Coturnix japonica: one gene and its partner. The protein of the gene in region 1 purifies or fractionates together with the protein of each later gene. This does not show direct contact. Links are inferred from orthologs where the notes say so. Each region holds a gene or a part of one and is shown in the gene's direction. Other genes may lie near its edges.

Region 1 (4,319 bases):
ATGCACCACTCAGGCACAAAGGTCGATTTAAGCAATAAGGCAATCAGGCAATTTCTAAAGCCATTCAGACATGAAGTAGTGTTTGAATGTGGAAATTTCTCACCTTTATTACTTCTTATTTGCATACGTCTGACTGCTGGAAAACATGACAGAACATTCCCACTTTTAAGAGTAAAGAAAGAAGCAGATAACTCACTCAGAGTCCTGTACTCTGGCCACTCAGTACTCATTTTATACCCCTAATATGTAGAGTCATGCTACCTGGCAGCACACCACTGTTGACACTGCCTTTGAAGTTTTCCATGAGCAGCTTTTCTGGTTCCTTAAACAAGCTATTTCTGTGCCACCTTTCTTCTATTTCCCTATGACCGTTTCATATTTAACACGCTCTTATTTGTACTTTTATATTCAACGTGTCACTGCTTGTTCTTTGTGTGCTTTCCCCTGCCTGGACACGAGTGATATGGTGGCCCTAACGATGTGGTTGGTGTCCCATCCCTGCAGGGTGAGGGAGAGGCTTTCAGTGTGAGGCTGGATGATGCCCTGGGCAACCTGGTTTAGTTGTGGTGTTCCCTGCAGGGGGGTTGGACTAGATGGCTTTTAGAGGTCCCTTCCAACTGTAAGGGTTCTGTGATTCCATGAGCACCCTGTTTGGCTTAGAATCACAATCCTACCTTGCTCCATGCCAGGTGGTCGGGCACGCTGTCAATGGAGAGCGCTATCATCTTCACATTGCGTTTGCTGAACTCAGATGCCAGCTTGGCCGCCCGGCCCAGCTCCGTGGTGCAGACGGGGGTGAAGTCCCGGGGGTGGGAGAAGAGGATGCCCCATCTGAAAGAGGATCGCAGGGTTATGGGTTCCGAAGCTCACTGTATCACTCCAGCCGAGAGCGGCCCGTTCTTCTCCCACCCCCCCCCCACCTTCCGTCCCCAGGCCGGGACACACAGGCTGAGCTCGCCCCGGTTCCCCCTCCGCCCCCCGCCGTTCCCCCGCCGTGCTGCTCACGAGTCTCCCAGGAAGTCGTGGAAGCGGATGCGGCCCTGCGTGGTGTCCGCCTCGAAGTTGGGCGCCTCGTCTCCCAGCAGCAGCCCCGGCATGGTGACAGCACCGCTCCGCTCACTGTCCGTTCGGATCTGTTCGGCTCCGTTCGGATCCGCTCGGCTCGGGGTAAGGGGGGGCGTGTCCTCCGCTGTCGTAACGTAGCGCCGCGCTTTACGGCGTTTCGCGACTTCCGCGCTCCCGTGCTCCGCGGCGATGGCGACCTACGTGAGCGAGCTGGAGGCGGCCAAGAAGAGCCTGAGCGAGGCGCTGGGAGAGAACGTGAAACAGTGAGCGCCGCACCCAGCATCGGCACACACCGCCGAGCCGTAACACCGCCATAACGCCGCCATAACGCCGCCATAACCTCTCTCCCGCAGGTACTGGGCCAACCTGAAGCTGTGGTTCAAGCAGAAGATCAGCAAGGAGGAGTTCGACCTGGAGGCGCGGCGGCTGCTCACGCAGGACAACGGTAACGGAGCGGCCGTGGGGGACGTTTGGTCCCATTTGGTCCCATTTGGTCCCATTTTGGTCCCATTTGGTCCCATTTTGGTCCCATTTGGTCCCATTTGGTCCCATTTGGTCCCGTTTGGTCCCGTTTGGTCCCGTTTGGTCCCATTCCCTGCACTGAGCAGGGACACCCCGGCTCCAGCAGTGCCTACAGCCCATCCATGGCCTTGGCTGCCTACAGTACATACTGATAGGCCGCTCTCAGGTGTCTCCAGAGCCTTGTCCTCTCCATATATCTCTCCTTATGATGGTTATTCCATCCCTTGGGTCGCTTTTCTGGCCCTCCCAACAGGTCCATATCTCTCTTGTACTCCATGGCTCTCTTGTACTGAGTATTCCGCTCTCAGTGCTGGCTCTCCTTGTGTCTTTATTTTAACTCTTTTATTCCTTTAAACCAAACCCTAAGCCCTGCTGCCAGAAGGTGTATGGGAGGGAGGGCAGCCAGGCCTCCTTGTTGCTGGCTAAGTGCAGCTGAGCTGCCATGCATTGTGCTCTAGGGCTGGGTTTGTGCATGGTGCACTGAGAAGCTGTCCAGCTTGCACCTGTATGCCTTCTAGCAGCAGGTTCTGGGTTAAGCAAAGAGAAAAACAAAACCAAAAAAGACCTCTTAAAAAACTTTATATTGGGAGTTGTGACTTTGTAGCTAAGTGAATGGTGAAAACATGGCTGTGAGGAGACACGGAGACCCACTTTGAGCCAGCGCCTGTGACCACCAGTGTGTTCCTAATGAGCTGTCTGTCTTCATGCAGTCCACTCACACAACGACTTTCTCCTGGCCATTCTTACCCGATGCCAGATCTTGGTTTCTGCACCAGGTGAGTCCCAGGTCTTGTTAAAATTAATCAGTAAAGCTTTGGCACATGTGTTTGGGCTTTGTATGTGGCTGTTCTGCTTGCGGAGCCTTAATATTCCTGTTCATTTTGCCACGCAGACAGAAAGGTAACCAGGTAGTTATCCAGGTGATTTCACTGTGACTGTATTTGATCTCTTAGAGGCTGATGTGCTGGGTTGCTGTTTGTGGTAAGTCAGTTTGATTTCCAGGCTGGGCGTCTGTTGGGCTGTGAGTGCTGGAAAGTAAAGTGAATGGGAGATGCTCTTTGTGTTTGATCTGCTCTGCTTGCTGTTTCCTTTGTGTTCTCAGCTGGGTGGTACCCTCTTTGTTCCCCTCTCTCTTGTGGATAATATCTTGAGGAGCTGGGTTTTCCTGACTGATCTTGAAATCAAGTATTCATCTGATAGAAAAGTGCTTACTGAATGCTTCCAGCTAACTTTTAATTGAGCTGTGGTCAATTAGTCCAACCTTCTGCCCCTTTGATATCAAACCTTTTTAGCTGTGTAAGCATTCTGAATGGCTCTTGTCAGGCTGGCAAGCTATTTTCTGCTTGATCTTCAAAATAACTGTCAATTTAGAGATCTGATATGAAGGACAGTTGGGTTGCAGTTTAAGGTATGAAACTGCTGTGTGGTGAAGGAGAGAAGATGGTTGCAGTTGTGGTGAGCTGAGGTCTGAGAGAGCTGTTTTCCCTCTGTGGAAAGTATCTGTAGTAGCTGGGTCTGAGCTTTTGAGGGGGAAGAACTGCTGGTTCTGTTCAGGGTCAGCAACGTTTTGGTTTTATGTAAGGGTGAAGTTTGCTCTGGCTGGCACTTGGTTGGATTTTTGGATTGCTGGGCTGGCGGGAGTGTGGGTCATAACCCAAGATCTTTGTTTTGGTGGCACTGCTGTGTGACTGAAGTTGGGGTTATTCATTCCTGTGTGCGCTGCTGTGCTTGTCTGTGTGGATTTCCACTTGTTCTTTACCCAGTCATGTAGCTGTGCAGAGTTTCTGCAGTCGTTTGGGCAGACTTCATCTCTACTGACTTGAATAGTTCAGACTTGGCAGTCTGGGAAAAGCCATAATGTTTTCTCAGAGCTGTCTAGGAATGGGTTAAGTGTCCCAGTGCTTTATCCTGGGCCTGGTGCTTCACAGGTGCCGTCCATGTGCCCATTATTTCCCACTTCAACCTCATAATCTCAAGTCCTTGCAAGGACTCTTGTTTCCATTGGAGCTGATGCTGTTTCAGAGCCCTTGAAGAGCCTGTTTCTGTGGATCAGTAAGGGTGTGTAACTGAGTGCTAGTTGACCACACTTAGCACATGGTGGCTGTGCTTCTAGGCAGGCTCATTCTGCAGAAGCCAGCTTGAAGAAGCTCAGTTTGATCACAGAGAACTGGCTCTGTGCTCTGCAGGTGATGCTGCGTGCTGGTGGTTTCTTGGAGTTTTGTGGGTTTTTGTTGTTTCCAACTGGGATCATTGCAGCCTGTTCCAGGTACCTGGAGATAACCCGCATGGAGCATCTTGCCCTCTGGCAGGGCTGTTGTTTGCCTGTCTGCTGCTTGTGGTGCAGCAGCTTGGATGTCCAGACACAGAGGTGTGGTACAAATGGAGCACTTGATGTCATGCCTAGATTCACTTTTCCCCTAGCTGCCAACCTGCCACCTGCTGGTTTTTGTCCCTACAAGAATGGGAAGCTAACAGGGTGCCTCCAGTGCTGCGCTTTGAGTAGAAGCTGCTCTCTGACTGATTTATGGAAACAAATACATGATGCAAGTGTGCTCGAGGCACTTGGTGTGCCATTGCAGATGCTGGTGCGTGTACTTCCACCTTCATGTAAGTGGGACGAGAAGGAAATGAACATTTTAAAACTGTTATTGTTTAAAAAATAACTTGTGGTAACTGGGGACCTGTAAGCACAGTGGGTGAATGTGACAACTGGGATCAATGCTTACAACTTG
Region 2 (3,809 bases), on another chromosome or scaffold:
TGCTGACCTGCACTTAATGTACAAAGGTTCTTGAGCTGGTTGTGCTGCCTGGTTTGCTGATTCATGTCACAATTGTGTTATACACTGACCTACGTTTTTGCTTCCAGAACCTTCATTCAATTAAATCACAGGTTTTTTTGGTAACATTTGCTCAGACTGGTTTATCTGCTCTTCTTCCAGTTCCAGCACCAATCCGAGCTTTTGAGACAAACCTCTTTGGAGGGTCGAGTTAAACATCCGATTGGTTTTCAGTCTTTTGTGTGTTCATGTGTGGTCCTTTCATTTCCACCTCCCCAGTGCCCCCTGCCCCCTATGACAAGTGGAATTTCCTTATTTTGTGTTGGTGTTTACATCTCACCTGCATGGGTGGACATGCAGAACTGCTGTTCTGGATATTCCTGCATACAACAGCGTGCTTGCCCAGCGTTGCAGATCAATTGCTTTGAGCATCTGAAAAACCAAAGCTACTGGAAGAAGATGGAAGAACTGAAGGTAACAAAGGTAAGCCTGCTGCTCAGAACACAGCTTTGAGAGTTGAGTGTGGAAGGAAACTATCTGTAAAGTTACAAAGAAAGTAGTGCTACTGTGCAAAACAGGATTACTGCAGGAACAGCCATCTGCATTTAGAGCTGAGGTGTCTCACTGGTTGCTTTTGCTTGTTCCAAAAACAGTTCACTAAAATCAGAGATAAAGTTACTACTAAAAAGCACAGAAGAAATATACCATTTATTACAGCCTTATAAGTATAATTAGATCTGCTGGGAATCATTGGCATCGGCCCACCCTCTAGACAAGGACTGTCAAGTGATTAGATACTGGTGGGGACTACTGGTGTTCATACTAGCAAAAGCAGACTGCTGCATTTAAGACTTTGATGCTTTATTTTTCTCTTAATTTATGACTGTTATGTTTCAGTGCTGTCTCCTCCAGTTAAGTGTTGCCAGACTTTATTAATGGCGAGGGTGTGGCAGACGCAACTCATTTACTTTCTGAATATCACATTGGGCAGAATGCTGTGTGGGCTTTGCTTTCTAGCTGCTTCTCTCCCATAAAACTCCTTTTCCATGAGAGTTCCATACAAGAGAATGTGTCTTTATAAGTTCAGTCAGCTCTTCAGTATGTGTGCATCAAAAGTTGATGTTTTTAGGATGCTCCAATTAGTTGTGCAGTAGCTTAGCTGTAGTTCAGTGCATTGTACCTGTTCTATTTCAGATGTCAGTCTAAGAGTCAGTTTAGCAGCTGCAGTCATTGCTCCCTCAAGGATAAGAGTCATAGATGCTCCTTTACCTTTTTCCCTTTCCAGTTAAGTAAGTTCTCATGTTTTACTATGTTCACCATTTCTTATTTTTATCAGGGTCTGAGGTATTCACGTTTCAGCCTTATCTGTTTTGCAGGTTGTTTTGTGTTGGTTCATTCAAGTGATGCCATAGCGTAAGAAGCACCTTTGTTTTTTTTTAACCCATGGAAGACCAACACTGAAGACCAATCAAGAGCAAAGCAGGAGAGCCTGTGGAGTTGTAACTGGTTGTCTGGAAGCTTTGAGGAAGATTGATTCTTCTTGGGGTCACAGGGAAACAAGGTCCAGCCTCAGGCATGTAATAAATGATGTTTAATAAATGATTCCAAAAAAAGCTGCCTTTATGTGTTTGCTTTTACTTCTGATTTTTCTACTAGATACCAAGGAAAAAAAAATATAGGGTGAGTCTCCAGATGGACCTGCTGGGTTTCCCAATTGTCTTCTGTGCTGCGCAGGCTGACTTTGAATGCTGCTGCTAACCAGGGGGCCAAGTCTTCCAGGGAGAAACAGGGAGAGAGTTTTCTGCTCAAAATACCCCAGTGCATCTCAACTATGCCCAGGGAGCCTCACAAGCATCTGTTGGCACAGATTGGTTTAAATAAAAACAGTAAGTTGTGAATAGATGATAAAGGAGAGAAGTAGGCAGGAGATACCAACTGAACGTTTCTCTACTTACACAGCGTGTTCATCTTTCTGCTTTATATCGTTTGCAGAGACGTGTAGACCGGAGATTGACATAGACTCCTATGTGTGCAGAGTTGCAGCATCACACCATATTTCAGGCTGCTGCACCAAATTAACTATTTAACACTTTGTTAATATTGTGCACACATTTGTTGCCTCCCAGCATGAGAATAAAGCAGATGATTGCACTGAGCTTTCTGCCCAATAGAAGTTACTGCAATATACATGAGGAACTTTGTCCTGCACTGTGAATAAACAGAAGCGCCAGGAAGCTGTTGGAAGGAGGGCTGTGTTTCATTAGATACAGAAAAGGAGATTTCAGAGGGCTCTGTACCCATCGCCTGCAGCTCAATGTGCAGCTCCAGCTGATGTAGTGCCGTTTCTCTCTGGTAACATAGCAACTGGACCACACCTCCTCCTGCTGAAAGATGCTGAAGAGCCCTTTCAGCACTGCCTGGTGTACTGCAAGGGAACTGTACCGTTTTTAATTAGCTCAGCATTGCCAGCTGATACTCCTTTATTTTTTTTCACCTGTAGAATGGCAAGGCAATTCTTTGTTCTCTATCACGTCATTTCTTTCAGTCATGGTTTACGTAGTAATTCTGTCTATATCGCAAAAGAGGACCGCGTTCATTTTAAATTGATAGCAAAATTGTATGTATGTCTGTGCTTTATTTTTCTTCTTATTTTGAAGTAAACTTTTGATTAAAAAATCAGTATTCTTGTCCACCTGATGACCTTGTTTAGCACTCCTGTATGGTGGCAGTCTGTTAATGTTTTGGAAGAGTACTCAAGGACTTGAGCATGTTTTTCTTCTCGCTTAGACTTTGCAAATGACTGAAAGCTTTCCCCACTCCTAACCTCTCTTCTGTTGTGCAACAAAAGAGCATTCCTTTAAGCACGTTGGTTTCCAAGCACAAGAAACCGTCTCTGGGCGTTACTGAACGTTTGACTTAAGGTGTGATGAATCCTCTTATGCCGAATTGACTTTTGTGATGTGTGTTGTAGATAAACGTTTGATGTAGTTAAAACAAGTGAGTGGAACTAGCACTGTTCAGAGTTGCTTTTTAAGGGTGTTTTGTTCAGTTCTCAGGCCTTGAATGGAAAGGAGGAAGCACAAAGTCTGTCCTGGATGTCACTGGCTTTTTGTTTGGCTTATACTGAGGCCGTTTCCTTTGCTGCCTGTCTTAGGAAGATAATTGTTGCATTTTATCAGTACAAAAACCTTACTTTGACTTTCTGACTTGCATGAGGGAAAGCCTTTTAAGTGGTCTGAGAACAAACTGATTTATTTTAATGTGTCATACTGTTGCAGTGTATCAGTTGTCATTGCCTTTGGGTACAAGCTTGAGGAGGGAACATGTTTTGGTGGCGGTTGGGAAAACAGCCTCTGCAAAATTAACGCTGTTGGTGTTGCTGTACTTTGAGTTTTATGTTCCTCTAAGAATTTAAAGCAAAAACAAACAAACAAAACCAAGCCATGGTGTAGTTGAGAAAGCTTGAGGCAGCTTGTGACTTGAGTACATCAAAACCAATAGCCTACCTAAACATAAAACTGTGTACTTGGAGCAACACGTACGTAGTAAATCTGTTGACACTACTGTGAAAATGGCATAAAAATGCAAATAATTTAAAAATACTATTTTTAAAATACAATAATGCTTACGGTTCCCTTCCCTTTCTGTCTTTATAGGTCTACGAGGGCTAATCAATCTTGGGAACACATGTTTTATGAACTGTATTGTCCAGGCACTTACCCACACTCCACTGCTGCGAGATTTCTTCCTCTCCGACAGGCACAAATGTGAAATGCAAAGCCCCAGCTCAT

The links.
Region 2: the proteins of TADA1 (region 1) and USP22 purify together in Homo sapiens (affinity purification with mass spectrometry; 4 studies listed by BioGRID and IntAct, with this or other methods). This does not show direct contact. The link is inferred for Coturnix japonica from reciprocal best matches to the Homo sapiens genes TADA1 and USP22.

What each region holds. Positions count from the first base shown.
Region 1 is NC_029523.1:4,195,059-4,199,377, forward strand, and holds the start of TADA1 (transcriptional adapter 1), read left to right. Parts: upstream 1-1,217; 5' UTR 1,218-1,254; coding exon 1,255-1,328; intron 1,329-1,418; coding exon 1,419-1,510; intron 1,511-2,297; coding exon 2,298-2,363; intron 2,364-4,319. Other genes in the region: PRDX6 (peroxiredoxin-6), read right to left, coding at 675-831, 1,006-1,097. UniProt on the Homo sapiens protein: Probably involved in transcriptional regulation.
Region 2 is NC_029529.1:4,653,536-4,657,344, forward strand, and holds part of USP22 (ubiquitin carboxyl-terminal hydrolase 22), read left to right. Parts: intron 1-3,674; coding exon 3,675-3,809. UniProt on the Homo sapiens protein: Deubiquitinase that plays a role in several cellular processes including transcriptional regulation, cell cycle progression or innate immunity.